4 linked regions of the Pelodiscus sinensis genome follow. The protein of the gene in region 4 purifies or fractionates together with the protein of the main gene of each other region. This does not show direct contact. Links are inferred from orthologs where the notes say so. Each region holds a gene or a part of one and is shown on either strand. Other genes may lie near its edges.

Region 1 (6,857 bases), on a different chromosome or scaffold from region 4:
CCGCTCCCTCCCGCTATCACCCGGAGCCGGGACGTGAACCCCGAGTCTAGCGCGGCGCCTGCACCCGGAGCCGGCATGGGGGAGAAGGCGGGCACCAGGTGGGGGCTGGTCCGGCGCGCTACAGGGCGCGGGGTGGGGAGGGGGAGCTTGCATCCCAGCAGGAGAGGGAACCCAGGCGTCCTGGCTCCCCCCCAACCACCAGCCCCCACTCCCCTCCCACAGCCAAGGAGTCCTGACTCCCAGCCCCCCCCAACCACCAGCCCCCACTCCCCTCCCACAGCCAAGGAGTCCTGACTCCCAGCCCCCCCCCAACCACCAGCCCCCACTCCCCTCCCACAGCCAAGGAGTCCTGACTCCCAGCCCCCCCCGCTCTGACTCACCAGCCCCCACTCCTCCCCAGCGCTGGGGAGGGAACCCAAGAGTCCTGGTACCCAGCTCCCCTCCCCCCACTGACTCATCAGCCCCCTCTTGCCTCCCAGAGCTGGGGAGAGAACCCAGGAGTCCTGGCTTCCCTTGCATATGAGTGGGAAAGGCCTGATCCTGGTGCAAGGATGTAGGTCATGGCTGGGGGAGGGGCAGCTAATCCAGGAGTAAGGCAGCAGCACTGCCAGGCACTGGGGGTGGAACCAGATTACGGAGATATCGGACCCTGGTGCCAGCCCTGCCTCGGACGCCTGGGTTCCTCAGGACACCTTGGGAAGCTGTCATTTAACACCCAGATGCCTCGGTCCTTTGAGGCCTTTGGGAAGGGCTCCCTCCAGACAGGTGCAGGGACCTGGCCCATGATATGATATTCTCCCCCTGCCCTGTCTCTGCGTTGGGTGCTAGGGATAGGCTGGAACCTGGCAGCAGCTGTCAGGCATGTTTGGTCAGAGCGCTCTGGAGTTTATTGCCCCAGAGATAAGGGCAGGAGGCTAGAGAAGAGGGGGCCAAGGGCTGCCTGGCTCCACCACTCCTGCCAGTGCCCCTCACTCCCAATCCGCAGCCCCTTGGCTCTGAGGCTGTTTGGGATAGTGGGTCTCTCCTGGCGTGGGGGTGGGTCAGAAAGAGGAACTGGAAGCTGCGTAGCTCAGCAGGCAGACTGCAGAAGCTGCTCTGAGGAGCAGAGCAGATGTGGGGGGAGGGCTGGGATTGGGGGAGCAAAGGGATCCCAGCCCTAAGTTTTTCTTTACAAACACTTTCAGTCCCAGCCCTAGGGAGTCCCACACTCTGCATTCCGTCCCTGGTGCAGAGATGCAGCCACCTCTTGGGGGAGCGGAGAAGTTGTACAGAAACCTATGTTGAGGAGGGAGGGGGGCCCAACGCTGTCCCATCCCCTTGGGGCAGTGCTGTCCCTTCCTGAGGCCATAGAGAGGGCTCAGGATTAGGGCCAACTGGCTGAGTGCTGAACCGCAGGGGTGCACGGTGACCTCCCCCAACTGTCACCCAAGTGCCTCCCTAGGACTTCCTCACAACATCCTGTCTAGGAAACAAAACAGGAAACGCCACGTCCTGTTGGAGACACGTGTCCTAACCTTGTGCCAGCCCTGCCCCATGCCAGTGCCCCTCACTCCCAAACAGCAGCCCCTGCCAGCCCAGTCCTGGGCTCCCCTCAGCTCTGCCAGTGCCCCCCATTCCTGACTCTCAGACCCTGGCAGCCCAGCTCTGGACTCCCCCAGCTCTGCCAGTGCCCCTCACTCCCAACCTATAGCCCCTGCTACCCCAGCGCTGGGCTACTATGAGTGCTCCTCACACCCAACACAAAGCTCCCTACTGCTGTTTCTGTTCCCATGTGCTGGGTTCCCTGTTTACATCCTGGCACCCCATATGTCTGTACCTTCCAGGTGGGGCTGCTTCTTGACTCCTCCTCCTCAACCTGGTTGTTCTGAGGAAGGGGGCCAACAGCCAGTGGGGTCAAAGGTCAGCCTGGATCTTCCCCAGTGCATGAGACATGGGACTAGCAATTTCCATAGCAACCTGAATATGTAGGGGGAATCCAGCACTGAATCCTCCCCCCAAACTGTATGAAATGTTTGGGGAGATGCTCTTAGAGGGAGGCTCTTAGAGGGAACTGGGCAAGCCTGGTGGGGCAGAAGTTGGTTCTCTCCCCTTTCTGGAAAATTGGGGAGGGCTTTATGGAGAGCTGTGGGGGACCCTTCCCCCCAGATCCTGCCCCCCTCATTCTGAATCAGCTGGGTTGTTCCCCCTTCACTCCTGGGTGGTCCCTGAATTCACTCCTCCCCACCCCCCTGCTGCTCCTGTCACTATGGTTACACTGGGACAACCAGCCTGGATCCTGTTTCTGTGGCAACCAGCTAGACCTGAGGCAGACAGGTGGATTCCCCCCCCCTTTCCCCCAGCTGAGCTACTGCTTGGAAGGCAGAGGTCAAAGGTCAGCCTGGTGGACCCCTGAGATGGGGGGAGCTGAAGTTGGGGAGGCCCATGTCAGTCAGTTCTGACCTATGCCCCTTCCCCCACCCCTTTTCCTCCCCAGGGTCTTCAAGAAATCAAGTCCCAACTGCAAGGTGAGTGACAGCCCGGTGCCCCTCACTCCCAACTCGCAGCTCCTGTGCCCCACCTGACCCCAAGCCAACCTAGCCCCATCCAGTGCCTCTCACTCTCGACCTGCAGCTCCCAGCCACCCCGGCCCTGCCCGGTGACCCTCACTCCTGACCCCCAGTAGGGATGTTAAGTATCGGGTAATTGACTAGTCAATAGGACACCTCTGCCTTTGAAGTGTAACAACAGCTTGAGGGCTGTTGCTACACTTCAAAGGTGAAAGCACCAAAGCGCTAGGGTCAACTGGGGACTCCCCCACTGACTCCAGGCTCCATGCAGCATTGCTGCTTTGAAACGGCATTTCAAAGCAACAGCGCTGCACAGAGCCCAGGGTCAGCTGGGGAGTCCCCAGCTGATCCTGGGCTCCCCACAGCATTCAAAGCAGCAGTGCCACACGGAGCAGCTGACCCCACGCTCCATGCAGCGCTGCCGCTTTGAAGTACCCCCCCTTGTCGCCCCCCTTGCTGCCTCTTTCTGATAGAGCCAGCAAGAGGGAGGAGCAACTAGTCAACTATTCTGTCGACTATCCGATAAGCATTTGCTTATTGGATAATTGAATAGTCTTTCACATCCCTTACCCACAGCCCTTGGCCCCACAGCCCGGTGCCCCTCACTCCTGACTCACAGCCCCCCATTTCCCATCTGACGTGTAGACTCTGGCCGTGCCCGGTGTCCCTCACTGCCGACCCGCAGCCCCTGGCCAGCCTTTCCCTGCCTGGTGCCCCTCACTGCCGACCCACAGCCAGCCCAGCCCCACCCAGTGCTCCTCAATCCCAACCTACAGCCCCTGGCCTGCCCAGCCCCGCCCAGTGCCCCTCACTCCTGATCCGCAGTTCCCGGCCAGCCCAGCCTCATCTGGTGCCGCTCACTCCTGACCCGCAGCCCCGCCCCTCCCAGTCCTCCTCAATCCCAACCTGCAGCCCCTGGCCAGCCTGGCCTTGGGTTCTGGGTAAGAATGTTAACTGGAACAGCCATCCGCCCGTTGTGGGTGTGGGGCTGCTTCCGCTGTGGGCGGGGAGGGCAGGGTGCTCCAGCCTGGCCTGAGCAGCTCTTGTTTTTGTTTGCTGTGGGTCCAGCCCAGCCAAAGAAGGGGTTGCTCCAGCCTGGCCACGGGCAGGGGCTACCCTGCCCAAGTGCATTTAATAGGTTAACCAGTTAAACTTAATGTTTAACCAGTTAACTCATTAAATGGGATTTTACATCCCTAGTTCTGGGTGTTATGGTCTCTTCCCCCCCCCCCCCCCCCCCAACCTCAATGGTTTCCTCTTGCGGCTCTTCCCCCGCCTGGCTTCCTCCCTTGCGCACTGACACGGGGATCCTGCCATGTCTCTCCCCTCCCCCCATGGGCCTTTGCACACACTACTGAGTGCCCGTCCACGCAGAACTTGGCCTGAGGCTTGTGCATAGAGAGGTGGGGGGGCTAAGGTTGGGATGGGAGTGGGGCCCTGTATTGTCGAGGGGCAGAAGGTGCAGTGTAAGGGGGGCTCTGAGCTAGGGAAGAGTCATCCCAGGTTCTTGAGGGAGAAAGGGGGAGAGGCCCTGAGCTCCAGGCAGTGAAGAGTTAACCACCACCCACTTCTTCTCCCTCCTTCCCCCCCACACAGTTTGTTTACATTGGGTTTCCACACACCTGCCCCCCCCCCTTTCCTGATTGGCTGCCCCCCTCCCTAGGGCCCCCTCAAATTCCTAGGGGGCGGCAGAGCTGCAGATAAACAGACTCTGGAAGGAGCAGCGGGTGTGGGGGGGTGGTAGGTACAGTGAAGGTGCGTGGGGGGGCAGCAGGCGTGGCTGGGGCAGGGAGGGCATCTCAGGGTGGGGATGGAGCCCCTGGAGCTGGACAGGATTCGATGTGAGATGTCTGGGAGCCTCCGGGTCTTCAGAAAACAGCTGGGAACCCAGGTAAGGGGGTGCTAATTGGGGACTGACAGCTTGCATCAGAGCAGTCCTGATCTGGTAGAGTTCCCCCCCACCCACTGGGTGCTGCAATGGGCTATTTCCCCACGTGGGTGTGAGGATCTGTCTGTCCCCCTTCCCCATGTCTGTCTGTTCCCACAGCTCACTGTCTATCTTGGCAAGCGTGACTTTGTGGATCACCTGGACCGGGTGGACCCTGTGGGTGAGTTAGGGGGTTAGGGAGTGGGGAGGGTAGGGGCCTTAAAGGATTGGTGGAGGCTGGGAATTGGGGATATTGGGGGGCTGGCAGTTAGGGGGTCAGACATGGAGGAAGGTCAGTGGGGGTCTGGAGTTCAGAGGGCCGGTTGGCTCTAGGAGTGCTGGAGGTTGAGGGGCAGAGATGGCTGAGGGGCAGTGGGGTGCTAGGGCTGGAGGTGTTTGGGGTGCTGGGAGACCAGGGACTGGTTGGCTATTGGAGTGGGGTGGTGGTTACGGGGATGAGGGTTCAGGGTTAGGAGACATGGAGTAGGGAGTTAGAGGGCTGGTCAGAGACTGGGGGTCAGAATGCTGAGGTGGCTGGGGGAAGTCTGGGGGTCCAGGGACTGATTGGCTCTGGGGTGGTTGGGGTGCACAGAGCTAGTGGGGATCAGGGGATCCTGCCCAGTCTCACCCCTGCCCTGATTCCCATGCAGATGGAGTGGTGCTGGTGGACCCCGAGTACCTGAAGGATCGGAAAGGTGAGAGGGGCTGGGGGGGGAGGCTCCTGCTCTGAAGAGGGGTGAGATTCCAGGCTCCACCACTGCCCCTTTGACCCAGACTGGCTAGGGGCGAGGCTGAGTGATCAGGCTCCACCCCTGGCATGTCTGTTCTTGGGTAGGGGGAGGCATCTTGGGGAAAAGGAGGGTGGGAAACAGCTTGGGGAATTCTGAGTAGAGCTGTCTGAGGCCTTCACCCTGTCTTGCTGCCCTCTTCCCCACCCCTCTTCTGCAGTGTTTGTGACTCTGACCTGCGCTTTCCGCTATGGGCGTGAGGACCTGGATGTGCTGGGCCTATCGTTCCGCAAAGACCTTTTCGTCGCCACGTGCCAGGCTGTGCCCACCCTGCCTCAGGAGCAGTGCTCCCCCACCCGCCTGCAGGAGCGGCTGCTGCGCAAGCTGGGAGCCCATGCCCACCCCTTCTCCTTCACGGTGAGCGCCCCGGGGACTCTCCAGGGACCCTCAACCTTCCAGTGCCCTCTTTCACCTTCATGCTGAGCCCCCAGGAACCCCAGCACCCCCTAACCCTAGGGATGTTAGTGGCTAGTTGCCTAATCGTTTAACCAATATGCGATTGTTTATCAGTTAACAGTCCCAGTTAACTGCAACACACCCCTACGTGCTCTGCATTTAAAACTCGGACCAGCAGGTTTGCTCAGTCGCAGCCCATAGGTCCAAGTTTTAAATGAAGAGAACATGGGAGCCCCCTACCACGCCACGCTACTGCCTTTGAAACAGCTCAGAGCCTGCGGGGCAGCAGGTGGGAGTCGATACGTGCCAGCAGCTGGTTTAAAAACCAGCTCCAACCTTCCACCTGCACTAATGCCTCTGAATCAGCCTGAGCTCCTGTCCTACTCCTGGAGTCCTAGACAGGAGCTGCTGTCACCAACACGGAGTGGCAGGGGGCTCCCCAGGAGTAGGACAGGAGTTCACTGGCTGCCAGGCCCAACCTCAGGAGGGAGCATTTTAGTAACCGTGTACAGGGCGCCCCCACTCTAAGTCCCCCTGTTATACATCTGTTCCACACTGAAGTCGTTGCCACTTGTAGGAACTGATGCATTATAAATCCTCCCATTCCCTGCTCTTCGGTCATGCCAAAAACAAAACAAAAAACCCAATTTGAGCACATGGAAGTCATCCGTGGGGAACAATGCCCTGGTTTCAGTTTCACTATAAGTCCAGGTTTTTTTAAACATATCTTGGATTTATCGCAAGGCCGGCCTGTAACCACTAAGCACTGCTGACACTACACAATTACTAAAATAAACCATTTCTGACATCCCTGCCTACTCCCCCCATACCCTCTTTCACCTTCACAGTAAGTCCTCAGAGCGTCCCCTCATGTGGCAAAATGGGGATTTTATGCCCTTTATGTTGCTTGTTAGTTCTGGTGTCATGCCATGTGTTGCCTTCGTTTCCCTGGGCACTGTACCAATGCCTAGACGGGGCTGGGCATTTCAGTGTGACAGCCTCCCCCACATCCACAGTGGCTGATACTTTCTGGAAGTTGAGCCTGGGAGGGGTGCGTGTCTAAGTAACATCTTTACACCAGGAAGCACCACAAAGGCTGGAGGAGGGGCCTGGCTGGGACTACCCTGACTCTGGTCCCCCCTCTCCCCAGATGGATTGTACTGGCTGCTGCTGGTTTCTATGTTGACAAGTCTGTTCTAC
Region 2 (7,219 bases), on a different chromosome or scaffold from region 4:
GGGGGAGGGCTGTGGTGCGGGGTGTCTGGGAGGAGGGCTGTGGGAGGGGGGAGGGCTGTGGGGGGCTGGGGGAGGGGGGAGGGCTGTGGTTGGGACTCTGTGGTGCGGGGTGTCTGAGGGAGGGGGGAGAGCTGTGGGGGGCTGGGGGAGGGGGGAGGGCTGTGGGGTGAGGGGGGGAGGGCTGTGGTGCGGGGTGTCGGGGGGGGAGGGCTGTGGGAGGCTGGGGGAGGGCTGTGGGGTGAGGGGGGGAGGGCTGTGGTGCGGGGTGTCTGGGGGGGGAGGGCTGTGGGGTGAGGGGGGGAGGGCTGTGGTGCGGGGTGTCTGAGGGAGGGGGAGGGCTGTGGTGCGGGGTGTCTGAGGGAGAGGGGAGGGCTGTGGAGGGCTGGGGGAGGGGGTGAGGGCTGTGGTACAGGGGTGTCTGAAGGAGGGGTGAGGGCTGTGGGGGGCTGGGGGAGGGGGTGAGGGCTGTGGTGCGGGGTGTCTGAGGGAGGGGGGAGGGCTGTGGTGCGGGGTGTCTGAGGGAGAGGGGAGGGCTGTGGAGGGCTGGGGGAGGGGGTGAGGGCTGTGGTACAGGGGTGTCTGAAGGAGGGGTGAGGGCTGTGGGGGGCTGGGGGAGGGGGTGAGGGCTGTGGTGTGGGGTGTCTGAGGGAGGGGGGAGGGCTGTGGTGCGGGGTGTCTGAGGGAGGGGGAGGGCTGTGGGGGGCTGGGGGAGGGGGTGAGGGCTGTGGTGCGGGGTGTCTGAGGGAGGGGGGAGGGCTGTGGTGCGGGGTGTCTGAGGGAGGGGGGAGGGCTGTGGGGGGCTGGGGGAGGGGGTGAGGGCTGTGGTGCGGGGAGTCTGGGGGAGGGGGGAGGGCTGTGGTGCGGGGTGTCTGGGAGGAGGGCTGTGGGAGGCTGGGGGAGGGGGGAGGGCTGTGGGGTGAGGGGGGGAGGGCTGTGGGAGGCTGGGGGAGGGCTGTGGGGTGAGGGGGGGAGGGCTGTGGTGCGGGGTGTCTGGGGGGGGAGGGCTGTGGTGCGGGGTGTCGGGGGGGAGGGCTGTGGGGTGAGGGGGGGAGGGCTGTGGTGCGGGGTGTCTGGGGGAGGGGGGAGGGCTGTGGTTGGGACTCTGTGGTGCGGGGTGTCTGAGGGAGGGGGGAGAGCTGTGGGGGGCTGGGGGAGGGGGGAGGGCTGTGGGGTGAGGGGGGGAGGGCTGTGGGAGGCTGGGGGAGGGCTGTGGGGTGAGGGGGGAGGGCTGTGGTGCGGGGTGTCTGGGGGGGGAGGGCTGTGGGGTGAGGGGGGGAGGGCTGTGGTGCGGGGTGTCTGGGGGAGGGGGGAGGGCTGTGGGGTGAGGGGGGAGGGCTGTGGTGCGGGGTGTCTGGGGGAGGGGGGAGGGCTGTGGGGTGAGGGGGGAGGGCTGTGGTGCGGGGTGTCTGGGGGAGGGGGGAGGGCTGTGGGGTGAGGGGGGAGGGCTGTGGTGCGGGGTGTCTGAGGGAGGGTGAGGGCTGTGGTGCGGGGTGTCTGAGGGAGGGGGAGGGCTGTGGTGCGGGGTGTCTGAGGGAGAGGGGAGGGCTGTGGAGGGCTGGGGGAGGGGGTGAGGGCTGTGGTACAGGGGTGTCTGAAGGAGGGGTGAGGGCTGTGGGGGGCTGGGGGAGGGGGTGAGGGCTGTGGTGTGGGGTGTCTGAGGGAGGGGGGAGGGCTGTGGTGCGGGGTGTCTGAGGGAGGGGGAGGGCTGTGGGGGGCTGGGGGAGGGGGTGAGGGCTGTGGTGCGGGGTGTCTGAGGGAGGGGGGAGGGCTGTGGTGCGGGGTGTCTGAGGGAGGGGGGAGGGCTGTGGGGGGCTGGGGGAGGGGGTGAGGGCTGTGGTGCGGGGAGTCTGGGGGAGGGGGGAGGGCTGTGGTGCGGGGTGTCTGGGAGGAGGGCTGTGGGAGGGGGGAGGGCTGTGGGGGGCTGGGGGAGGGGGGAGGGCTGTGGGGTGAGGGGGGGAGGGCTGTGGGAGGCTGGGGGAGGGCTGTGGGGTGAGGGGGGGAGGGCTGTGGTGCGGGGTGTCTGGGGGGGGAGGGCTGTGGTGCGGGGTGTCGGGGGGGAGGGCTGTGGGGTGAGGGGGGAGGGCTGTGGTGCGGGGTGTCTGGGGGAGGGGGGAGGGCTGTGGTTGGGACTCTGTGGTGCGGGGTGTCTGAGGGAGGGGGGAGAGCTGTGGGGGGCTGGGGGAGGGGGGAGGGCTGTGGGGTGAGGGGTGAGGGCTGTGGTGCGGGGTGTCTGGGGGGGGAGGGCTGTGGGGTGAGGGGGGGAGGGCTGTGGTGCGGGGTGTCTGGGGGAGGGGGGAGGGCTGTGGGGTGAGGGGGGAGGGCTGTGGTGCGGGGTGTCTGGGGGAGGGGGGAGGGCTGTGGGGTGAGGGGGGGAGGGCTGTGGGAGGCTGGGGGAGGGCTGTGGGGTGAGGGGGGAGGGCTGTGGTGCGGGGTGTCTGGGGGGGGAGGGCTGTGGGGTGAGGGGGGGAGGGCTGTGGTGCGGGGTGTCTGGGGGAGGGGGGAGGGCTGTGGGGTGAGGGGGGAGGGCTGTGGTGCGGGGTGTCTGGGGGAGGGGGGAGGGCTGTGGGGTGAGGGGAGAGGGCTGTGGTGCGGGGTGTCTGGGGGAGGGGGGAGGGCTGTGGGGTGAGGGGGGAGGGCTGTGGTGCGGGGTGTCTGGGGGAGGGGGGAGGGCTGTGGGGTGAGGGGGGAGGGCTGTGGTGCGGGGTGTCTGGGGGAGGGGGGAGGGCTGTGGGGTGAGGGGGGAGGGCTGTGGTGCGGGGTGTCTGGGGGAGGGGGGAGGGCTGTGGGGTGAGGGGGGAGGGCTGTGGTGCGGGGTGTCTGGGGGAGGGGGGAGGGCTGTGGGGTGAGGGGGGAGGGCTGTGGTGCGGGGTGTCTGGGGGAGGGGGGAGGGCTGTGGGGTGAGGGGGGAGGGCTGTGGTGCGGGGTGTCTGGGGGAGGGGGAGGGCTGTGGTGCGGGGTGTCGGGGGGGAGGGCTGTGGTGCGGGGTGTCTGGGGGAGGGGGGAGGGCTGTGGGGTGAGGGGGGAGGGCTGTGGTGCGGGGTGTCTGGGGGAGGGGGGAGGGCTGTGGGGTGAGGGGGGAGGGCTGTGGTGCGGGGTGTCTGGGGGAGGGGGGAGGGCTGTGGGGTGAGGGGGGAGGGCTGTGGTGCGGGGTGTCTGGGGGAGGGGGGAGGGCTGTGGGGTGAGGGGGGAGGGCTGTGGTGCGGGGTGTCTGGGGGAGGGGGGAGGGCTGTGGGGTGAGGGGGGAGGGCTGTGGTGCGGGGTGTCTGGGGGAGGGGGGAGGGCTGTGGGGTCAGGGGGCTGGGGGAGGGGGGGAGGGCTGTGGGGGGCTGGGGGAAGGGGGGAGGGCTGTGGGGTCAGGGGGCTGGGGGAGGGGGGGAGGGCTGTGGTGCGGGGTGTCTGGGGGAGGGGGGAGGGCTGTGGTGCGGGGTGTCTGGGGGAGGGGGGAGGGCTGTGGGGTCAGGGGGCTGGGGGAGGGGGGGAGGGCTGTGGGGTCAGGGGGCTGGGGGAGGGGGGGAGGGCTGTGGGGGGCTGGGGGAAGGGGGGAGGGCTGTGGGGTCAGGGGGCTGGGGGAGGGGGGGAGGGCTGTGGTGCGGGGTGTCTGAGGGAGGGGGGAGGGCTGTGGGGGGCTGGGGGAAGGGGGGAGGGCTGTGGGGTCAGGGGGCTGGGGGAGGGGGGGAGGGCTGTGGTGCGGGGTGTCTGAGGGAGGGGGGAGGGCTGTGGGGGGCTGGGGGAAGGGGGGAGGGCTGTGGGGTCAGGGGGCTGGGGGAGGGGGGGAGGGCTGTGGTGCGGGGTGTCTGAGGGAGGGGGGAGGGCTGTGGGGGGCTGGGGGAAGGGGGGAGGGCTGTGGGGTCAGGGGGCTGGGGGAGGGGGGGAGGGCTGTGGTGCGGGGTGTCTGAGGGAGGGGGGAGGGCTGTGGGGGGCTGGGGGAAGGGGGGAGGGCTGTGGGGTCAGGGGGCTGGGGGAGGGGGGGAGGGCTGTGGTGCGGGGTGTCTGAGGGAGGGGGGAGGGCTGTGGGGGGCTGGGGGAAGGGGGGAGGGCTGTGGGGTCAGGGGGCTGGGGGAGGGGGGGAGGGCTGTGGTGCGGGGTGTCTGAGGGGAGAGGGCTGTGGTGCGGGGTGTCTGAGGGGGGGAGGGCTGTGGGGGGCTGGGGGAGGGGGGAGGGCTGTGGTTGGGACTCTGTGGGGGGGGCTCTGGGAGGCAGCGCAGAGCAGCGGGAGGGTAGCGCGCTTTCAGGAACAGCCGGTGCCGCAGCGCGGATTGGCTGTGGCTGCGGCAGGCCCGCCCCGCGGCTCGGGATTGGCCCGGGGGCTGGCCGCGCAACGGGCGTTCTGTTGCCGTGTCCTCGCTCGCTTTCGGTTTGCCGGCGGCGGCGCAGCAGCGAAGCGGTGACGGCGGCCCGGAGCCTCCTCTCGCCAGTCGGGTGAGTGACCCGGCGCCGCGTCCCCGCCCTGCTGGGGCCCTGAGCGCCGGGCAGCGCTGCCCCGGGCCCTTCCTTCCGCCGGGGCCCGCCTCCCGCACAGCCACGGGCCACGCGGTAGCGGTGAGGCGGCGTGAGCCCCAGCGAGCGGGGCAGCAGCAGCTGAGTGAAGCCGGATGAGCCCCCCTTCCCCCCACCTCTGAGCTCGCCGGTCCCAGCGGGACACACTCCCGCTGGGAAGTTGACGCATCAGCTGGAAATGTTGTTCCCTTGTTGCCATTGACACGCTTCTAATTCCCCACAGACACCCCACGAATAGGCAGGCTCTGGCCAAGTCCTGGTGATGGCTGCTGGCTGCTGCGCTCCTGTAACTACAGCCTCGCTGCACTGGCTTCGCAAAGATTCCACGTGGCTGGATTCACAGTCACCGAGCCAGTGGTCCTAAGACCCAAACCCCTCCTCCAGTCAGTGGAAAAACCCTGATCCTAGGACATAGAAATGCAGAGTCACCCCCTTGCCCAGCCAGGTGTTGGGAGCAGGAGCCACACAAGAGCTGACCTGTATGGCATCCTTGCCTACCCCAGTGAGTGCTGATGTCTTAGCTCGTGTTTCTAAAAATAGGTAGGGAGATTTTAGACATGGAAAGTGACGTGTAAATGGCATCACAGATCCTACAGGAACTATGCTGACTGCCTCAGAGGGAAGCACAGAACAACCCCCCCCAAAAAGACACTGCTTTATAGGACTTGACCTTCCCACCTCTTTAATTGAATTCCCTAGATATATAGGATTACGAAACTGCAGCACCTGATTCCTCTGAGACTCAAGGTTCATTCCTATTGTAACTCTTTCCTAAATAAATACACACAGAGAGGTACAAGTTGGTCACGGTATTTTAGGACAGAATGATGAAGGAACATAGGATTAAGAAGGCAGCATGAAAAATGTAATGGAAAGATGTAAGATACGTGCACATCTTTTCAAAGTGAACGTGCAGAGTTAAGGCATGTCTGCACTAAGGATGTTAAATTGCGTTTAATGAGCTAATCAAGTAGACGATGGCTTTTAAGCCTGCTCTCCTCAGCTCCTGCTCCCTTCTTCCCCGCTGCCTCTGATAGAAGTAACAAGGGGGGGAGAAGCAACTAGTAAACTAGTGACTCAACTACCCGAGAAGCCCAGGCTTATCAGGTAGTCAACTATTCGACTAGTCGCTTACATCTCGGCTTTGTCTACACTGCCTGCAAAGCCTATGCAAATGAAGCGTGGATTAGCATTTTGCCATGCTTCGTTTGCATCATTTATTCAAGCCATTTTTACACAAGGTTTTTGCTTAAAAACAAGCAGTGTGGACTCTTCTTTTGCGCAAAACCCGTTTTGCACAAGGTCCTTATGTGAGGCATTCTTACCTACCCCAGTGGGTGCAAGGCATAAGGATATTGTGCAAAATGGGGGTTTTGCACAAAAAAATTCCATCCACACTTATTGTTTTTGCGCAAAAACCTCTTGTGCAAAACCAGTTTGAATACATTATGCAAATGAAGTGTGGCAAAATGCTAATCTGTGCTTCATTTGCATAGGCACTGCCCACAAAGCCGGCAATGTAGACGTAGCCCACTAGGGAATTATTTCGAAATAGCTCTCCGTATTTTTAAATAAAAAGACGAGCATCCACGTTACCAAGCCCCTTATTTCAAAATAAGTGGAAGTTATTATTTTGAAATAATAACTTCCACTTGTGAAGTGGAATAGTGCTGTTTTGAAATAGTTATTTCAGGAGTTATTTCAAAATAACTTCCCAGTGTAGATGTGCCCTTAGAGAAATCACTTTCAGAGGGACTTAGGAAACTAATAAGTAACTTTAAAATCCAAGTCAGACGGGACCATTGTAATCATCTGATCTTGCAGTATAAACTTCAGAGTTTTGCTAAGTAATTCTTGCCATGACCTCCATAATTTCTGGTTGAAGTACAGCAGTGTCTTTCCTGTGTTTTTTTTTTCCCAGTACATATTAAAACACAGAATTAATTTAGGCTGGTCAGGGTGCTTTTACTGTTATTACACAAAGCATGTTAAACAAACATCTGTCAGGGAAAACTTAAATATTTAGTCCTGCTGTGCAGGCTAGATTAGAAGACCTCTCAAAGTCTCTTTCAGTTCTGTGATTCTATTAAGAATCACTGAGCTAGAGCAGTGTTTCTTAACCATTTTTATAAAGTACCCCTTTAAAAAAAAAAAAAAAAAAAAAAAATCCCCAGTACCTAGTTTTCAGACATACAAATTTTTTTTCTACCATTGGAACACATTTATTTAAACGAGTTAATCGTAGCCAAGAGGGCGATTACATTTTTGGGTGTAAAAAGTACAAAAATAATAAAGTGCTGTAAAACTTAAAACAAAAATTCAGTTTTCTTCAAATTTTAGTTGTGTTGACGTATCCCCCAGACTTCTCTTTGAAAGACTAAATTATGGATCCGCTACATCTGTAGGTAACGTCTTCTAGTGATTAACTGTTCTCAATGCTAAAAATTTGCTCAGTTTGCTCTCAATGTTAAAAACCTTATTTCTAGCCTGAATTTGTCTTGCTTCAGCTTCCTGACCCAGTTATGTCTTTGCTAAATTGAAGAGCCTTCTAATATGAGAAATCTCTCCCCCACATAGATATAGGTTGGACCTCCCTGGTCCAGCATACTCGGGACTTGCATGGTCCCAGGCAAGGGAGTTTGCCTGACCAGGGGCACTCAGGCTAGCTGCTTACTGTGCTGCAATGTGCTGCCAGTTCCCAGATGGGCTGCGCTATGCTGCC
Region 3 (7,824 bases), on a different chromosome or scaffold from region 4:
TGTTGAGGGGAGTAACGCGCCGGCGAGATCATGCTAATGAAGCGCGGGATATTTAAATCCCCGCTTCATTAGCAATTTTGGTCGCCTACATTTGCATCCCTAGCGCCAACGAGGGAGCAAGTGTAGACGTACCCTCAGAGGGCGGAGCTGTGTTAGTCTGTAACTGAAAAAAATCTAAAAACCAACAAAAAATCCTGCAGAACCTTAGAGACTAACAAAACATGTAGATGGTGTCATGAGCTTCCGTGGGCATAACCCACTTCTTCAGATGGCTGGAGTAAGGGGTCAAGGGTACAGATAAATAGCGGGGGGTGGGGGAGAGAAGAGGAGAGAAAAAGCTGCATCTTAGGCCATGGCCCATTCCACATGGCCCTGCTCCCCACGCCCCTTGGAAAGTCCCAGATTAATAGCCCTCTGATGTGACGCTGGACAGTAAACGCAGCTTCCTTCCCATCCATGCTGCCCACGGACTCCTGGCTCCTTCAGGACGCCCTGTCTCCTTCACAATCTCACTTTCAGACCATCCCAGCCCCCTTCTGGCCCTCCCTGGCACACCCAATAGCCTGACTCCACTGAGGTGGGGCTCAGCTTGAATCAGAGCCTAAAATATGTCCTTGCTCTGGCAGGGCCCCATCCGAGCCTTGATCCTACGGAGATGAGTGGCACTTGGCTGGGGAGCCAGGCTAGAATAGACTGAACTTGGTGGACGTTGATAAATAATATCTGCGAAGACGAAACTGCGAATCGCCCACACAAATGTGAAGAACGTGCTGTTGTATGGGTACAAGACCTGGCATACTACAAAGTCTTCACCTCACAAGCTACAGACATTCCTAGACAGACGCCTGCGGTCCATCCTTCACATCAGATGGCAAGACTGTGTCCCAAAGAAGAGCTTTGGAAAAGAGCAAGACAAGGACCACTGGACATTCAAATCAAGAGAAGAAAGTGGGGCTGGCGAGGCCACACTCAGAAAACCATCATCCAGCACAGTCCGGCAAGCTCTCACATAGAACCTGCAAGTAAAACGCGAAAGAGGAAGACCTCGGACAACATGGAGAAGATCGATTGAGATTGAAGGACAACAACTGGGGTACTCCTGGAGTCAGCTAGAAGTGTTGTCTCAAGATAGAGTGAAGTGGAGGAGACCTGTAGACGACCTATGCTCCCTCGGAGTGACAAGGGTTTAAGAAGAAGATCTAAGACCACACTTCAAAGCCTAATGCAGCCCTCTCCGTCCAGGTGTCATCCCTGCCCCAGTGTGGGGGAGTCCCAGGCTACTGCTTCTGGGGGTGCTGCCTCTCCTGCCGTGCCCCACCCATGTGACTTTGATTGACGGTATTTCAGTCTGGGACCCATTCAGACCCCAGCATCTCCATCCAGCAAAGCAGGCCCCTGGGGTGGTGTGACCTGAGCCCTGATCTCCAGGCAGGACTGAGCAAAGCCCCCTGCTCACATCCCAGAGAGCACTAACCAGCCATCCTGCTGGGACAGATGCGAAAGAGAAACCCAGGAGGTGAAAGGTTTCCTAGGTCACTGTCCCTCTCCTGCGTCCCCTCTCCCCCCTTGGCCTGCGGCAGAGGCATTTCTCAGCATTGTGTTCTCCTCTGATGGCCAGGTCCTGGAGAGATGCCCTGCAGCCTCCATCCCCGCCAACCCTTGGGATTGCTCCCTCTGCTTTTACCCAGATCAGTGTGGGCGGCCTGTGCCCAGGGCTCATCCCGGAGCCCAGCAGGGTGAGCTGTCCCTGGGCAGGACAGCCAGGGCTGTGACCAAGCTCAGAGGAGGGCGTGTGGTTACCAGCCCAGAAGCAGGAACGGGGAGAATTTCCTTCGGGCCCGATCCTGCAGCTTTTGCTCCGGTGGGGGGGGCCTGACTCGCACAAACCATGAGCCCCTGGCTCGCCCTGGGACCAGCCACCTGGCTGGATACGGAGGCAGGGGACGGACCTGCCCGGGGAAAAGCCGCCCCTGCTGCGTCACCAGCCCTGTCGGAGAGAACCAGCTGTCTGGCTTGGTAGCTCACTGTCTCCCCAGACCTTTCTGCACCATCCAGCGCCTTGGTATCCAGGGCCCAGCCCCTGCCCTGCTCGGGAATAGCCTAAGCCTCTCATGATTGTCCCAGGATCCCCATCCCCTTCCCCAGCTCCCTCAGAGCTAAGTCTCCCCCCAGGCCAAGCCTGTCAGCGGGAAGCCCCCACAGCTCTGCCCCTCTCCCAGGCCGGCCCAGCAGCACGCCAGGGCCCCTGCTCCCTGCCCCTCGCTTAGCTCCCAGGGCTGCGGTCCTGCCGTCCGGGCGCGCCCCGCAGCCGGGCGCTTGGCCGCGCATCTTAGGAGCGCAGCGGGGCCCGTGCGCGCATCCAGCTGCTGGCGGGGTTCGCTCGCTCGCTCGCTGCCAGGTCCCTTCGCCCTCCCCCGCCCGCCTCGACGCCGGCGGCTCCCGAGCTCGGCCCCCAGCAGAGCGGCCGTGACTCCCCCACCCCTCTCTCCAGCCCCCCGGGATTTCCAGCCCCCAGCGCGCAGCGGAGCTCGCGGGGCGCGCCACTTACCGTGCGCTGGGCTCGCTCGCTCGCCAGTCCCCAGCGGCGCCTCTCCCGCCTCCTTATCGCCGTCTGGGCAGCGTTCCCGGCCCGGCTCGGCCCGGCCCGGCTCCTCCCAGCGCCGCGCAGCCAGGAGCCGCCGCGGAGTCCCGAGGTGCCCTGGCTTTGCCTCTAGACGAGCATCGCAGAGGAGCCTGGAGCCTCGGCGGGCGCCCTGAAGTGCGCTGCGGAGACAGCCCCAGCGCGGCAGCGGGGGGGATACAATTGGGGGGGGGGGGAACTTGAGGGGGGAGCCCGTGTCCAATCGGCACAAGGCTGGAGCCGCCTTTCCCTTCTCCCCGCCTCCTTCCAGCTGGAGCTTTCTCCAAAACTTTCGATTCCAAACAAACCGAAGCAGGCTCTGAGGGGGAGTTTCGGTGAGAACCGGGGGCGGGAGAGGGGCTCGGAGCCCAGCTCCCGGCTCAAAGCCTCAGCAAAGCTGAGCGCAGCCCCCTGCCTTTCCTCCTTGGGCTGGAGGAGCCGCCTTGGGGGGCTGCTTCTTGCTGGCTCTCCCTGCTTTCAGTTCTGGCCTTTCGCCCTGCCCTGATTTCAAACCCCCCCCCCCTCCCATTTTTTCCCCTTTCTCAGGATATGAGGGGATGTTTAGAAAATCCACTGCCCACGCCAGCAGCTGACTCATGTTTTCATTAAAGAAGGCCTGTGTTAAAGGGACTGCACATATGCCCTCCCAGGCCTGATACAGCATCTCCAGCCCCTGTCCTGATCGCCTGGGCACAGATGCTGGCATGGACTCATAAGAGCGGCCATACTGGATCAGACCGAAATCCATCTAGCCCAGCATCCTGTCTTCAGACTGTGGCCAACACCAGGTGCCCCAGAGGGAGTGAACAGAACAGGGAATCAAGTGATCCATCCTGTCACCCATTTCCAGCCTCTGACAGAGGCAGGGACACCTTCCCTACACACTCTGGCTAATAAGTATTAATGGACCTAACCTCCATGAATCTATCTAGTTCTCTTTTTGAACTGTTGAAGTCCTAGTCTTCACAACATCCTCTGCCAACGAGTTCCACAGGCTGGCTGTGAGCTGCGTGAAGAAAAACTTCCTTTTGTTTGTTTTAAAACCTGCTACCTATTCATTTCATGTGGCGACCCCTAGTTCTTATGTTACGGGGACATGTAAATAACTTTCCCTTTTGTATAGACCCCTCTATCATATGCTCCCTTAGTCTCCTCTTTTTTAAGCTGAAAAGTCACAGCCTTTTTAATTTCTCTTCATATGGCACCTGCTCCAAACCCCTCAACATTTTTGTTGCCCTTTTCTGAACCTTTTCCAGTGCTAGGATATCTTTGGTGAGATAAGGCGACTACATCTGTACGGAGTATTCCTTTCTCTAGTGCAATGGTTCTCAAACTTCTCAACATAAACCTTTCCATGGACCACCAGCCAACCCCCCATGATGATGAAACGTGTGCATGAAAGGGTGGGAGTGCGGAGTCTGGCTAGAAAGTAGGATGCAGAAGAGGGCTGAGAGTGAATGGGTCTGGGTGGGAGGGGTGGGAATGAGGGGGATGGAGGTGCAGGATCTGGGCATGAGAAGGATGGGGGATGCTAACCTGGCTCTGTGTCTCCCACTGCTCCTAGGCACCGTCCTTCACTGCCCCTATTGGCTGTAATTCTGGCCAATGGGAGCAGCGGGGAAAGCCTCCAGCGGAGCCATTTCCTGTGCTGCTGTTCCCCCAGCCGGGAGGAGGAGCAGCAGCACACAGAGCCATTTACTTACCCCGCAAGCTGGATCCAGCCCACAAGGCTCACCCCGACCCCCTTGCAGTGGGAAGCCGGCGTGGGGCTGGAGCGCCAGCACAGGCTCACCGCTGCGGGAAGGAGGGGAGCTCCAAGCCTGTGCCCCCACCCCCCCGCAAAATGGAGAACCACTGCTTTAATGACTGCCTATGGACATTGCTTTCACAGCTTTGACCCGGCTGGTGCAAACAGACCCCTCCACCCAGAGCTTAATTTGTGCCCATGCTCAGCAGAGTTGAGCCCTGGCATCTCCTGGCTTGGCAGTTCATAGCCCCACAGTGGCACCGGAGCAATTTTTAGGGTGAGGGGTGATGAGTGAACCCCCTCCCCTTGGACCTGTTTGCGTCTCTCTGATAGTTGCAAACTCTCCCAGACCAGACTGACCGGACACCATTCACATCAATGGGGCAGGTGGCTGGGAGAATTGGCAATCCTAGCCTTAGGCTGCCCCCAGGCAGAGCCCCCCACCAGTGGCAGGACCCAGGGTGGGTATGGGGCATCCAGGGCTGGTGACCTGGACTCTAGGGCTAGCAGGGCCAGTCAGCTGAGGAGCCCATGGGTGCAAGACTGGTTGGCAATGGGATCTGAGGGCTGGTGGAACCCATGAGGCCAGTAGGTTGTGACGAAGTCAGTGGGGCTGGCTTGATCCTGGAGGCCTGGTGGGACTCCATGGGTGTGTCTAGACTACATGCCTCCGTCGACGGAGGCATGTAGTTTAGACGTACCCTATGAGGCCAGGAACAGGGACTGGCAAAGCAAGCGATGGATGGGCAGCAGGGCCAGCCCTCCGGGTGCAGGGAAGCTTGGTGCAAAACCTGGGGGTGCTGCAGCACCCCCTGCACTCCTATTTCCCATGCCTATCTAGCCCCAGCCCCCCTAGGTTTGCTACATCAGCCCTAGAATCTGCACTGGCTACAACCCTCTTGTGCAGTGGTTCTCAAGCTTTTTGGCCCATGGCCTACCCTGCTCAGCAGAGACCACCAGCCAACCACCCATCATGACAAAATGGGTGCAGGAAGGGGTAGGAGTGCAGGGTCTGGCCAGGAAGTAGGATGCAGGAGCAGGCTGAGGTTGCAGGGAGGAATTTGGGTGGGCAGTTGGGTGCAGGAGTGGGCTGAGGATGGAGGGGTCTTGGCAGGGGGTTGGGTGCAGGAGTGGGCCGAGAGTGTGGGGTCTTGACATACGACGGATAGGGGGCCCTTACCTGGCTCTGTGCCTCCCACTGCTCCCAAGCACCACCCCCTACTGCTCCCATTGACTATGATTCCGGCCAATGGGAGCAGTGGGGAAAGCCTCCAGGTGGGTGGTTTCCTGCATTGCCATTCCCCCAACGTAGGGGGAGGGGAGGGAGAGCAGCAACACACACAGCTGCTTCCTAACCCACAAGTTGGATCCAGTCCATGAGGCTTGCCCCTTTCCCCCCACAGCGGAAAGTTGGCACAAGGCTGGAGCCCCAAGCCCACGACCTACCTGCAAGACGGACACTTTGAGAACCACCGCGCTAATGTGGATGCAGTTATAGCTCTATGAAAGGTGCAAGGCTGAGTCATGCCTTGTCTACACACAAAGAGTTTGCTTGCGATAGCGAGCCTGGTATAGTGCAGATGCAGCTAATAGAGCCAGAAGAGCTCTAGTTTATACCAATTCCTCCAGCGGAATAGGCTACACTGGCAAATGGACATTTTTTACTGGTGTAACTTAATTTATGCGAGAGCTTCTGCTGCCACAGGTAAGCTGGCCAGGAGCGTGAGTATATTACAGGCCCATCAGCCCCAAGCCTGCCTGCTAGAAAAATTTGTTAGAGTAAAAGAGACCTCAGGTTCCTTTATGCTGGTATAATTTCATCCACACTAGGTCTATATCTACACTGGCGGGTTCTTGTGCAAGAACGGCCATTCTTCCGCAAAGCGTCCACGTGGGCCCCCTAGCTCTTGCGCAAGAAGATTTATAGTAAAGCGTGGGAAGAGAGGGCTTCTTGTGCAAGAGCTACGCTCTTTTCTAACAAGTGTAAGCTCTGTTGTGCAAGAGTTCTTGCTCAAGAGGGCAGTGTGGATGCGTGGCAGGGGTTTCTTGTGCAAGAAAGCCCTATAGCTAAAATGGTCATCAGTGCTTTCTTGAGAAAAAGAGCGTCCACACTGCCATGGGCGCTGTTGTGCAAAAGCACCTGGCAGTGTGGACGTGTTCTTGTGCAAGAGTTCTTGCACAAGAACCCTTGTGCATGATGTTCTTGTGCAAGAACCCGCCAGTGTAAACATAGCCTAGGGGTACGTCTACACTGCAGAGTTTTTCTGGAAAAACGGCTGTTTTTCTGGAAAAGCAATACTCATATCCACACTGCTAGTGCGTTCCTTCAGCAGAAAGGGGGAAAAATCACTCCCCTAAAAACCTGTCGCAGCCCCCACCTAAGAGCTGCTGTGTGTACAAGAGAGAGTCATCACTTAATAGCTGGTTAGGGGTGTGTGTTTATAATAGAGCTGGCTAATCATTTGTGAGCCTTAACAGTTAGAGGCTGGCTATTTATCTCTCCTTTATCTCAGCAGTTTCTTCAGCTTTCCATTGATGAAAACCCAAGTACAGACTATTTATTCAGAGATCTCCTCTGGCTGCCAAGGGGAGGGGAGATCGGGGTGTGGGAACCCCCAGGCTGTTACCATACAATGGGGCTGCTGATTGTGCAGTATCTTGCACACAAGTGCTACTCCAGTGTGTCTCCCAGATAATGCAGTTGCAACAGCAGCCAGAGGTACAGGCTAGGGAGGAAAGATAGGAGAGCAGCTGAGATCTGGAAAGAGATAGAGGGAGGTGAGGAACAGGGATAAAGGAAGGTTGTGAAGCAGAAAAGGCTCTTGCAGCAGCCGGGGCAGAGATCTGGTGCTGAGATCAGGCTGGAATGGGGTAGTGGAAGAAAGTGGCAGATCAGGGGGGCATGAAACCATATAGCTCCCTCATGCCATTTTTGCTGGAACTCCATGGCTGTGTCTACACTCGGCCACTTATTCGGCAGCCGCTTTTCCGGAATAAGCTGCGAGCTGTCTACACTGGCCCCTTGAATTTCCGGAAAAGCACTGACGATCTACTGTAAGAAATCAGCTGCTTTTCTAGAAAAACTATGCTGCTCCCGCTCGGGCAAAAGTCCTTTTTCCGGAAAACTGTTCTGGAAAAGGGCCAGTGTAGACAGCACAGTAGTGTTTTCCGCAAAAAAGCCCCGATCGCAAAAATGACGATCAGGGCTTTTTTGCGGAAAAGCGCGTCTACATTGGCCCCGGTCGCTTTTCCGGAAAAAAGGCTTTTCCGGAAAAGCATCCTGCCAATGTAGATGCTCTTTTTCCGGAAATACTTATAACGGAAAACTGTTCCGTTTTAAGCATTTCTGGAAATTCATGCCAGTGTAGACGTAGCCCATGTGTAAAGGAGCTTGATTTCCCCTAGCTCCTGCTCCGAGTCCATACCTGGAGGCACCAGGTTCCCTGTGGAGGTAGCT
Region 4 (7,955 bases):
ACCGAGAAAGTGGTAAGTGGTTTCCTCCAATGGCACTGACCACCGTGAACGCTGTGGTGTAGACAGGATGCAGACACCTAACCATCGTGTCCTCTCATTTTGCTCGCAGAGCAGCTTCAAGACATGCCCGCTTTCTGTCCATACTACAGTTTCCTCTCCTGCAAACACCGGGGTGAGTGTGTGAAGGGGGAGGAGGGGGGCACCAACAAACACCGAATGCTTTCTCCATGCAGACAAAGTTTTAGACAACTTGACAACCTGTGACAAGTGCTGTATTCCTGGTGTGGATCAGGTTTGTTATCACCACCACCCGCAGCAATTTATAAATGGCACAAAGAAGTCCTTCACCCACAACCAGCAGGGTTAAAACCATAGACACCTCAGCCTGGCCCCTACCCCCTACCCTGAAGCCTGGCATGATAGGGAGCATTCAGAAAGCTAGCACTTGCTGGCAGCAAACAGGCCTGGCCAAAAAGAAACCCTCAACCCCTCCAGGTGAGCATTGTGCCCCATAAACCAAGAGCAGCTACCTGGAAACCTTTACCAGGGAGGTGTTATAGTCAAGGATGACCTAAAATACCCTTAACAGTCTGTGGGATCACCCTGGTATTGAGCTGTTCTGTGGAACAGGTAAAATAGTTAGCCTTTGCCACCTCTTTTGGAGGAAAGACCGTATATACATGTTCACCCTCTCCCTCTCCTCCTTCCCCCACTCCCCCCACTGACCATCTGGGTTTTTTACAAACTATAGACTATTGGGTGGTTGTTCCTAGTCTATACGAATACAAAGAGACTGTGTGAGATAATTCTGGGTTCCAATGCAGCCTATTTCCTAAGGGCATTCAGTCACTACAGTAATGGCTGCAGGCCCAGAAACTAACAATATGGGCTTCTAAAGCCCTAGGTTTTATAAAAATGGAAACTGATTTAGGAGGGCTTCATATCTGTTGGTGCTTCAGTAAGTACCAGTGTTCCCTGTAAGCTGAGTGCTTGGGTGGCTGCCCAGGAGAGATCCAAATGCCACCCAGCTGATTAGTAGAGTGCCCCCAGCTATCCAAAGATAGTGTGTGTTTCTATTGGTGGTACACATCTGCACTTGGTACATAACAAAATTTATTCTGCCCACTGATGGAAAAAATTAGAGGAAACATTAGTAAATACTTATAGCAACAGAACCCCAACAAAGCTAGGGAGGTAAGTCATTGTGCAGGTACTCTGACATAAGAGAAGGGAAGGAGCAAGGGAATCAAGGGACAAGACAGCCATCTCATTCATTTTTTGTAGAAAGCCATATAGAAGTTTGCTGGCAAACACCACACAGTACCAGGAACATCCAGCAGAAGAGGCACCCTAAGCCTTCCTGGTGCCAAGATGTATTAAGCACATCCTGACTATCCCTGCCGCTGGGCTTACTCACACATCTCCCAGCAGGTTACAAATGAATGAATCAAGATCATAAAATTCTTAGTGTCTCAGAATGATCACAGAGCATGTGCACCACCCACGCCCCATGTTCCCAGGATAGCTAGGGAGTAAAACAACAACAAAAGCCCATTGAAGTTTGTCAGCTCAGACCCCAGGTGTTTGGCTTCAGAAGAACGAGGAAGGACTCTGTGTAGCTCAAAAGCTTGTCTCTTTCACCAACATTAGTTGTTCCAATGCAAAATATTACCTCAGCCTCTTTGTGTACCTAGAACTACAGTATTTTGCCTGACAGCTCCCGATTACTACAGATATGGCACAGATTCTAAGAGGCACAGTGTTACTTTTTTTTGTATCGATGTTCTATCGATATTCTGATCAGGCAGCAGAAGTTACAGAGCGGTTAATGAATCGTTTTCCAGTCTTTAAATCATAAACACTAAATAAAACAGGACCAGGTTGGGGAGGGAGGAAGAGGGAGGAGCAGCGATTCTCTTACACTGCACGACGTGATGTAAACACACAACCCCCCACAGAGCAGCTACGTCGTTGTTTTGTTTTAAATGAATATTTAACAAATAGTAAAAGGGAACTGGCTCAGAAGACATCAAAGCAGCGGAGTGATTAATATTTCATATTTTGGCCTACATATAGCTCCTCCCCCCCTCCTCGTTTCCCCGACTGGTTTGAATAAATGAACTATAGAAAGTCTTCGGCTAGACAGAGCTGCCCCACCGTTTCAGGCAGCCCCGCACAAGAGAAGAAAGTGCGGGGCTCGGAACAAGTCCCGCACCCCGAGCTCCCCCGCCGCCGCCTCGCCAGCCCTAGCAGACAATACCTTTAGCCCGGAGCTCCTCGGCTAATTCAGGCTGCGGCTCCGGGAGGCTCCCGGCTGCCACACGCAGGAGCAGCCGCTGCCGTCGGGCGGAGCAGTGTAAACCCTCCATTGGGGGCGACAGCCCCAGCAGGCACCCACCGCCCCCAGGCAGGGAGATGCCAAAGCGCCGGGGCAGCCCCCCGGGGCTGGTCGGTGCCCCCGAGCGTATCACCAGCCCCAGCGCGCCGGGCGGTCTCTTACCTTCCCTCCCCGCGGAAAAGCACCGGGGCCGGATGGCTCCTTCGGGCAGCTCCTTTCTCCCCGGCGGCTCGCAGCTCCCGCAGCTACACGCCTCGCCCGCAGCCCGGTGAGACGCCCTGGCCCAGCGGCAGGGGGCCGGACAGCTGCGAGGCGGACACGCGGCTCATGGCCGAGTCCCGGGCGTTCCCAGACACAAAACCCGGCTCCGGCTTTGTCTCTGGCGGGGGGCGGGGAGGAATTAACCCCTCGGCTGCTCGCTCCCCCAGCCCCTGCCCGGCTGCCGCGCTAGCGAATGGCTGGGGACTCGGAGCCGTGATGTCAGCAGCGGTGCACGCCCGCCTGCGGCGGAGACACCTTCTCCCCGCCGTGATTCATGCCGCTGGGTTGAGCATCGGGGCCAGGCAAGGCCGGCGCAGGATCGCCCCCTCCCGCCCTGCCTCCAGGTGCCTGGGCGGCGCCGGCCCGCCCCCTCCTCTCTGCTGCTCCCCGCGCCGCGAATGGGATCCTCGCTTCTTAGCGATTTGCCAGGGCTCCCCCTCCCCCAACGCCCCCCCAAAGGGGGAATATGGCAGCAAACCGGAAACAGATGAAGGGAAAAGAACCAGCCCCCCCCCCCCCCGTTTGAGATCCCCCCCCCCCAGTTTCTTTTTAATAAGGAAAAAGGGCTCCGGGCGCGCAGCCAGCTGGAAACTGGCGTAGTCCGGAGCGAAGCGCCGACGTTTGCAAGACAGGGCTGGACGTCGCTTCGCTCGACGCGGCTCCGGTACCCAGCCCCCGGGGCCGCTAGATGGGTGGCGGGGCTGGAGCTGCAGAGGCTGGAGGCGACGCATAGAGCAGCTGCCTCTGCTGGCCATCCCGAGCTGGAGGGAAATCCCGGGCTTGCTGCTGGCTTCCCGGGGCCCCCAGAGTGGAATTATTGTGGCTTGTTTATTGTGCGATCTAAGCAACCCGGAGACCCCGTCATGGAGCTGGGCAAAAGGACTGTTCCCTGCCCCAAAGAGCGTCCCATAATCTGGGCAGTGCCAGGCTAGGCAGGCAGGATTCCGGTGGGGTTGCCCATGGGCTTGCTCTAAGTAGCCTCCCAGAGCACAAATAAAAGCTGTGTTTAAAAAGAATCTAGTCTGTTTGCAGATGAGTCTCCACCACTCCCTAAGGTGTCTAAGGGCTCCCCAGTGATCACTCACTGAGCTAATCCTGTGTCCTAAAATGTGGGATATTCCTGGCCTTTTCCCCAGCACTCTTCCCCCTAGTACCTGAGCCCATCAGAAGCATTAATGAGAAGGCCTGGAATTCATACAACTCCTCAAACAAGGTTAGGACTAGAGACAATCCTTTGAAAGTTAAGGGTTTGTGATTTAAAGAGAGAAGACTGATGAGAGAGGGGAAATGAGACAGTGACTTTGTCCAAGGTCACACAGAAGAGCTGGGACTGGAACTCTTGACTTCCAGTGCTACTGATGTTTAGGGCCCTACCAGATTCAGGGATAGGAAAAACATGTCTGACTATGACTGTGTATGCTTTTATCCTATGCTATATAGATTTCACTGGGGGAGACCAGCAGTTCTCAAATTGTGGGTCTTAACCCAAAAGGAAGCCCCAGGGTGTGTATGTGCAAAGTTATTTTAGGGGGAATTGTTGTACAGATTGGACCTCCCTGGTTTGGCACCCCTGGGACCTGACTGGTCCACAATGAAGGATTTTGCCCCCCTGCTGCCACCCCTCTTACACTGTTCCCCCGGGCTTTCTGGCTCTCCCTGCAGCCCTGCTGAGCTGCATGCTGGGCTTCCCAGCTCTTCCACACCCAGTCCAGCTGGGCTGTCATTGCCACCCCCACCCACAGTGTGCCTGTCTTCTACATCCCCTCCCCCCGCAGTGGACCCAGATTCTTTGATCTTCCAGACCAAGGAAGTTGCCATACCAGAGAGTTCTGGTTTTTATAGAGGTGCAACCTGAATTGTCACCCAGACTTCTGAGCTGCCTTAGGGTTAGGGTGAAATTTTAGATTTAAATAGCTGAAATAACAAAATGTATTATTTTTAAAATCCTGTGACCATGAAATTGACCCCAAATAGACCATTCATTTGGTAGGGCCCTAATTATGTATTTACTAGTTCAAGATGCCTCTCCTGAGAGGGCCTCAGCTACCTGGTCCCCAAAAAGGTGCATGAGTCAGTGGAGGTTCTGCGTCAGTTTTTACATTTGTATTCCCAGTTGTATCTGTTCTTTTTCTCAGAAGCTCTATGGATAAATGGAGAACAAACTAGATGATGATATCCCATAAAAATGGAACCCGATTAATGGAAAAGGAAAGTGATTTTCATGTAATCTATTTTATTTTTATTTTTTTTGCATTGGGGTCATTTTTATTGTTTAACTCTGACACCCAAAAAAAAAACAGTTGGAAGAAAAACTATTTTGTTACTTACTCCAGCCCTTTCAGTTGCCTGAGAGAGATCTAAACCCATGTCTGAATCCTCCAAGAAAGGAGGGAAAACTTCTTAAGTTGATGCGCCTGATATTTCTAAAGTGAAAAAACCCCTCCCCTCTAGAAACTAGAACAGTCCTCTGCAACCTTTTTAAGCATGAGATCACTTTTTGAATTTAAGTGCAATCCAAGATCTACCTCAAACCCAAATACTCTTGTCCCTCCTCCTTTGTGCTCCTTCTCCAAGGCCCCACCCTTGCTCACTCCATCCTCCCTCCTACCCCGTCCTTCCTCACTTTCACCAGGCAGGGCAAGAGGGTTGGGGCACAGGTTCTGGTCTTGGGCTAAGGGATTTGGAGTGTGAGAGGGGCTCTGAGCTCAGCCTGGGACAGGGAGTTGGAATGCAGGAGGGGGTTCTGGGCTCAGGCTTTGTAAAGGAGTCTGGAGCCAAGGGGCTCAGGACTAGGGCAGGAGATTGGGGTGCAGGAGGGGGGTTCATGACTGGGGCAGGGGTTCAGAGCTGTCTCCAGCTGGGCACTGCTTACCTCGGGTGGCTCCTGGGTGGCGGTGCAGTGGGGCTAAGGCAGGCTCACCCCTGCCCTGGCCCTGCACCACTCCCAAAACAGCTAGCAAACTCCCTCCCAAGTCCTGTTGTGCCCCCTCTCTGCTCTTTGGAGATAGGATACAGGCTGGGAGAGGGGGCACCTTGACATCAGCGCCACTCTTCTCCCTCTCCTGACCTGCAAAGCAAGCAGGAGGCTCCCAGGGGTGGGGGAGGCAGTTCCAAGGCAAAGGGCAAGAGATATGCAGCAGTAGGGGGAGGAGTAGCTGAAGTGCCGGCACTTGACAGCCTCTTGGCCTAACCAGTCAGGATCACCTGTCAGAGGCTCCAAGATCTACCAGTAGATCCAGATCTACTGGTTGGTGACCACTGAACTAGAATCCAGAACCAAACAACCTGTCAGGCTTTCGTTACGCATCATAGAGAAGTGGAAAAGAATACCAGCCTTAATTGGATGTTGTTTTGCAGCTACCTTTAAGATAACAAGGGAATCTCTTCTAGACCCAACATGTTTGAAGCAGTAGTAATCACATATATCTGAGTGATATCTAAGATAGGATAATAAGTTTAATAGTCTGTAAGTCTCACTCTGTGTCTAATTCATTCTCTGTCCCCACTCACCTGGAATCAGGATTTAAAGAACTTGGAGCACTCATCCTATCCCAAGAGGCTATGGTCCATCACTACAAGGCTGAGCTATCCTTGGGAAGCCACGGGGGGAGGAGGGAAGGAATCATAAATTGCTCCATACCCAAATTCACAGGATTGAGTAAAAACTGAGACTGCATTCGCCTCTCCACCCACATGGCCACTTCCGGTCAAACTTTAGGAGCGTTGGTAAATCCCTGGTGGGAAAGACCCCTGCAGTCACTCAAACCAACTTCCTCTTGGCTCAGGAGAAATGAAGCCAGGGAGAAGCACTTAATAGATCAATATGAGGAAGCACAGGGCTGAATATACAGACAGAAGTGGAAATGAAATAGGGTTCCATCCACATAGCTCAGTAGTCAGTACCTTTTTCTCTTTTTCATGCACTGGGATCTCTCCAAAGAGGGACATTTTCCGGCATCCCACCTCAACCATTAATGGGCACTGATTTATAGATGCACATTTGGCCAGCAGAAGGTATCGGCAAGCCAAAATGTGGACACCTCAAACTATTATTTCCATGGACTCCGAGAAAGATTATTTAGATTGACAGAGGAAGAGTCCACGTTCCTCTAGTTCTAGACAGAAGAACCTGGAAGAACAGGTCAGGAGAGTGAGCTCTTTTCTGCTAACTTGTCCTTGTGACTCACTTCCAACCTGGACATACTGTTATGGATCTTGAGAGCTCTGAATACAAGAACTAACATCACTCTTACCGTATATACCTACTTCACTGAGCATATGTCTGCTGCATGAGTATCTATACAGAGATAACCCCTCCTTCACCTGTCTCAACAATCCTTCCCTGTCATATTATATCCAAGGAAGAAAATGGGCCCATTACTTAAGCCCCCAAACACCTGTAGCTTTTCTATGACCTATTAAATCACAGGCTGACAGCACGGACTGTCTGTACTTCTACAGCAAACAGCATCTCATGCCAGGAAATCCCATGGAACTCTGTGGTGGTTTGATTTTCAAACTCATGTTACTTCAGGCAAGAACTGACACTTAGAGAAAGTTGGAAACGTTAAAACATTCCAGAGATGTGCATGGCTGATTTTTTTTCATTTATTGAGAAAGCATTTCCTGTGACACTGCAGAAGGCAGACAAGCCAATGAGTCATAAGGAAGAAGGAGTCACACCAAAAGCTAATTTCATTATGAGTGTCCAGTGGATAGTCACTTGGAGCCATAGCACTGAGTAGCTGTTCATTTGATAGGTTCCTTATCAGGTTACCATTGGAGCATGCTGTCTGCAGTCTTTGTTAATAGTTTTTGATCATTGCCATGCTGAAGACAGGCCTCTGTTTTTTCACCAGTAAAGCCTGGCTCCCTTACACTGCCTTTCACTCTTGGAGGTCTACAATTCCCGATACACAGGCAATATTTAGTATTTGCTTAGCTCACAGGGTTGCTGTGAGGACCAAAGCCATAAAGCAATGTGAATATGAGAAGCACTGCCCACGTGTGTTTATTATTGGCTGGCACTGTTAGTTTGTTACCAGAAAGTCAAACAGCAACCAGCTAGATGTCCAGGAAACAAATTGAGAAAATACTGGACATATTTTCTCAATTAACGTTATAATTAAGTTAGTTTTATTATTACGAGTATCAGTATGTAGTTGCGTACTGCCTGGCTGATAGACACGCTCATGCTGTGTGAGCATGTCTATCAGCCAAGCGGTATACAACTACGCAATAGGGAGGAGTAGGGCAGGATGCAATCTCCGGGGCTGGACTCACCCATGCGCCCCACTGGGACAGTGCACAGGATGGGCAGCACCCTTGGATCTGCATGCGTCCGGGCCAACCCTGC

The links.
Region 1: the proteins of SRC (region 4) and ARRB2 purify together in Homo sapiens (affinity purification with western blotting; 4 studies listed by BioGRID and IntAct, with this or other methods). This does not show direct contact. The link is inferred for Pelodiscus sinensis from reciprocal best matches to the Homo sapiens genes SRC and ARRB2.
Region 2: the proteins of SRC (region 4) and STAT1 purify together in Homo sapiens (affinity purification with western blotting; 3 studies listed by BioGRID). This does not show direct contact. The link is inferred for Pelodiscus sinensis from reciprocal best matches to the Homo sapiens genes SRC and STAT1.
Region 3: the proteins of SRC (region 4) and PDGFRB purify together in Homo sapiens (affinity purification with western blotting; 4 studies listed by BioGRID and IntAct, with this or other methods). This does not show direct contact. The link is inferred for Pelodiscus sinensis from reciprocal best matches to the Homo sapiens genes SRC and PDGFRB.

The regions. Positions count from the first base shown.
Region 1 is NC_134734.1:8,207,610-8,214,466, forward strand, and holds the start of ARRB2 (beta-arrestin-2), read left to right. Parts: upstream 1-3,851; 5' UTR 3,852-4,356; coding exon 4,357-4,437; intron 4,438-4,593; coding exon 4,594-4,654; intron 4,655-5,123; coding exon 5,124-5,168; intron 5,169-5,421; coding exon 5,422-5,618; intron 5,619-6,857. UniProt on the Homo sapiens protein: Functions in regulating agonist-mediated G-protein coupled receptor (GPCR) signaling by mediating both receptor desensitization and resensitization processes.
Region 2 is NC_134717.1:67,124,057-67,131,275, reverse strand, and holds the start of STAT1 (signal transducer and activator of transcription 1-alpha/beta), read left to right. Parts: upstream 1-4,210; 5' UTR 4,211-4,419; intron 4,420-5,210; coding exon of another isoform or gene 5,211-5,250; intron 5,251-7,219. Other genes in the region: uncharacterized protein LOC142830272, read right to left, coding at 5,211-5,250. UniProt on the Homo sapiens protein: Signal transducer and transcription activator that mediates cellular responses to interferons (IFNs), cytokine KITLG/SCF and other cytokines and other growth factors.
Region 3 is NC_134727.1:35,019,617-35,027,440, forward strand, and holds the start of PDGFRB (platelet-derived growth factor receptor beta), read right to left. Parts: upstream 3,006-7,824; 5' UTR 2,549-3,005; intron 1-2,548. UniProt on the Homo sapiens protein: Tyrosine-protein kinase that acts as a cell-surface receptor for homodimeric PDGFB and PDGFD and for heterodimers formed by PDGFA and PDGFB, and plays an essential role in the regulation of embryonic development, cell proliferation, survival, differentiation, chemotaxis and migration.
Region 4 is NC_134728.1:24,429,288-24,437,242, forward strand, and holds the start of SRC (proto-oncogene tyrosine-protein kinase Src), read right to left. Parts: upstream 3,008-7,955; 5' UTR 2,501-3,007; intron 1-2,500. UniProt on the Homo sapiens protein: Non-receptor protein tyrosine kinase which is activated following engagement of many different classes of cellular receptors including immune response receptors, integrins and other adhesion receptors, receptor protein tyrosine kinases, G protein-coupled receptors as well as cytokine receptors.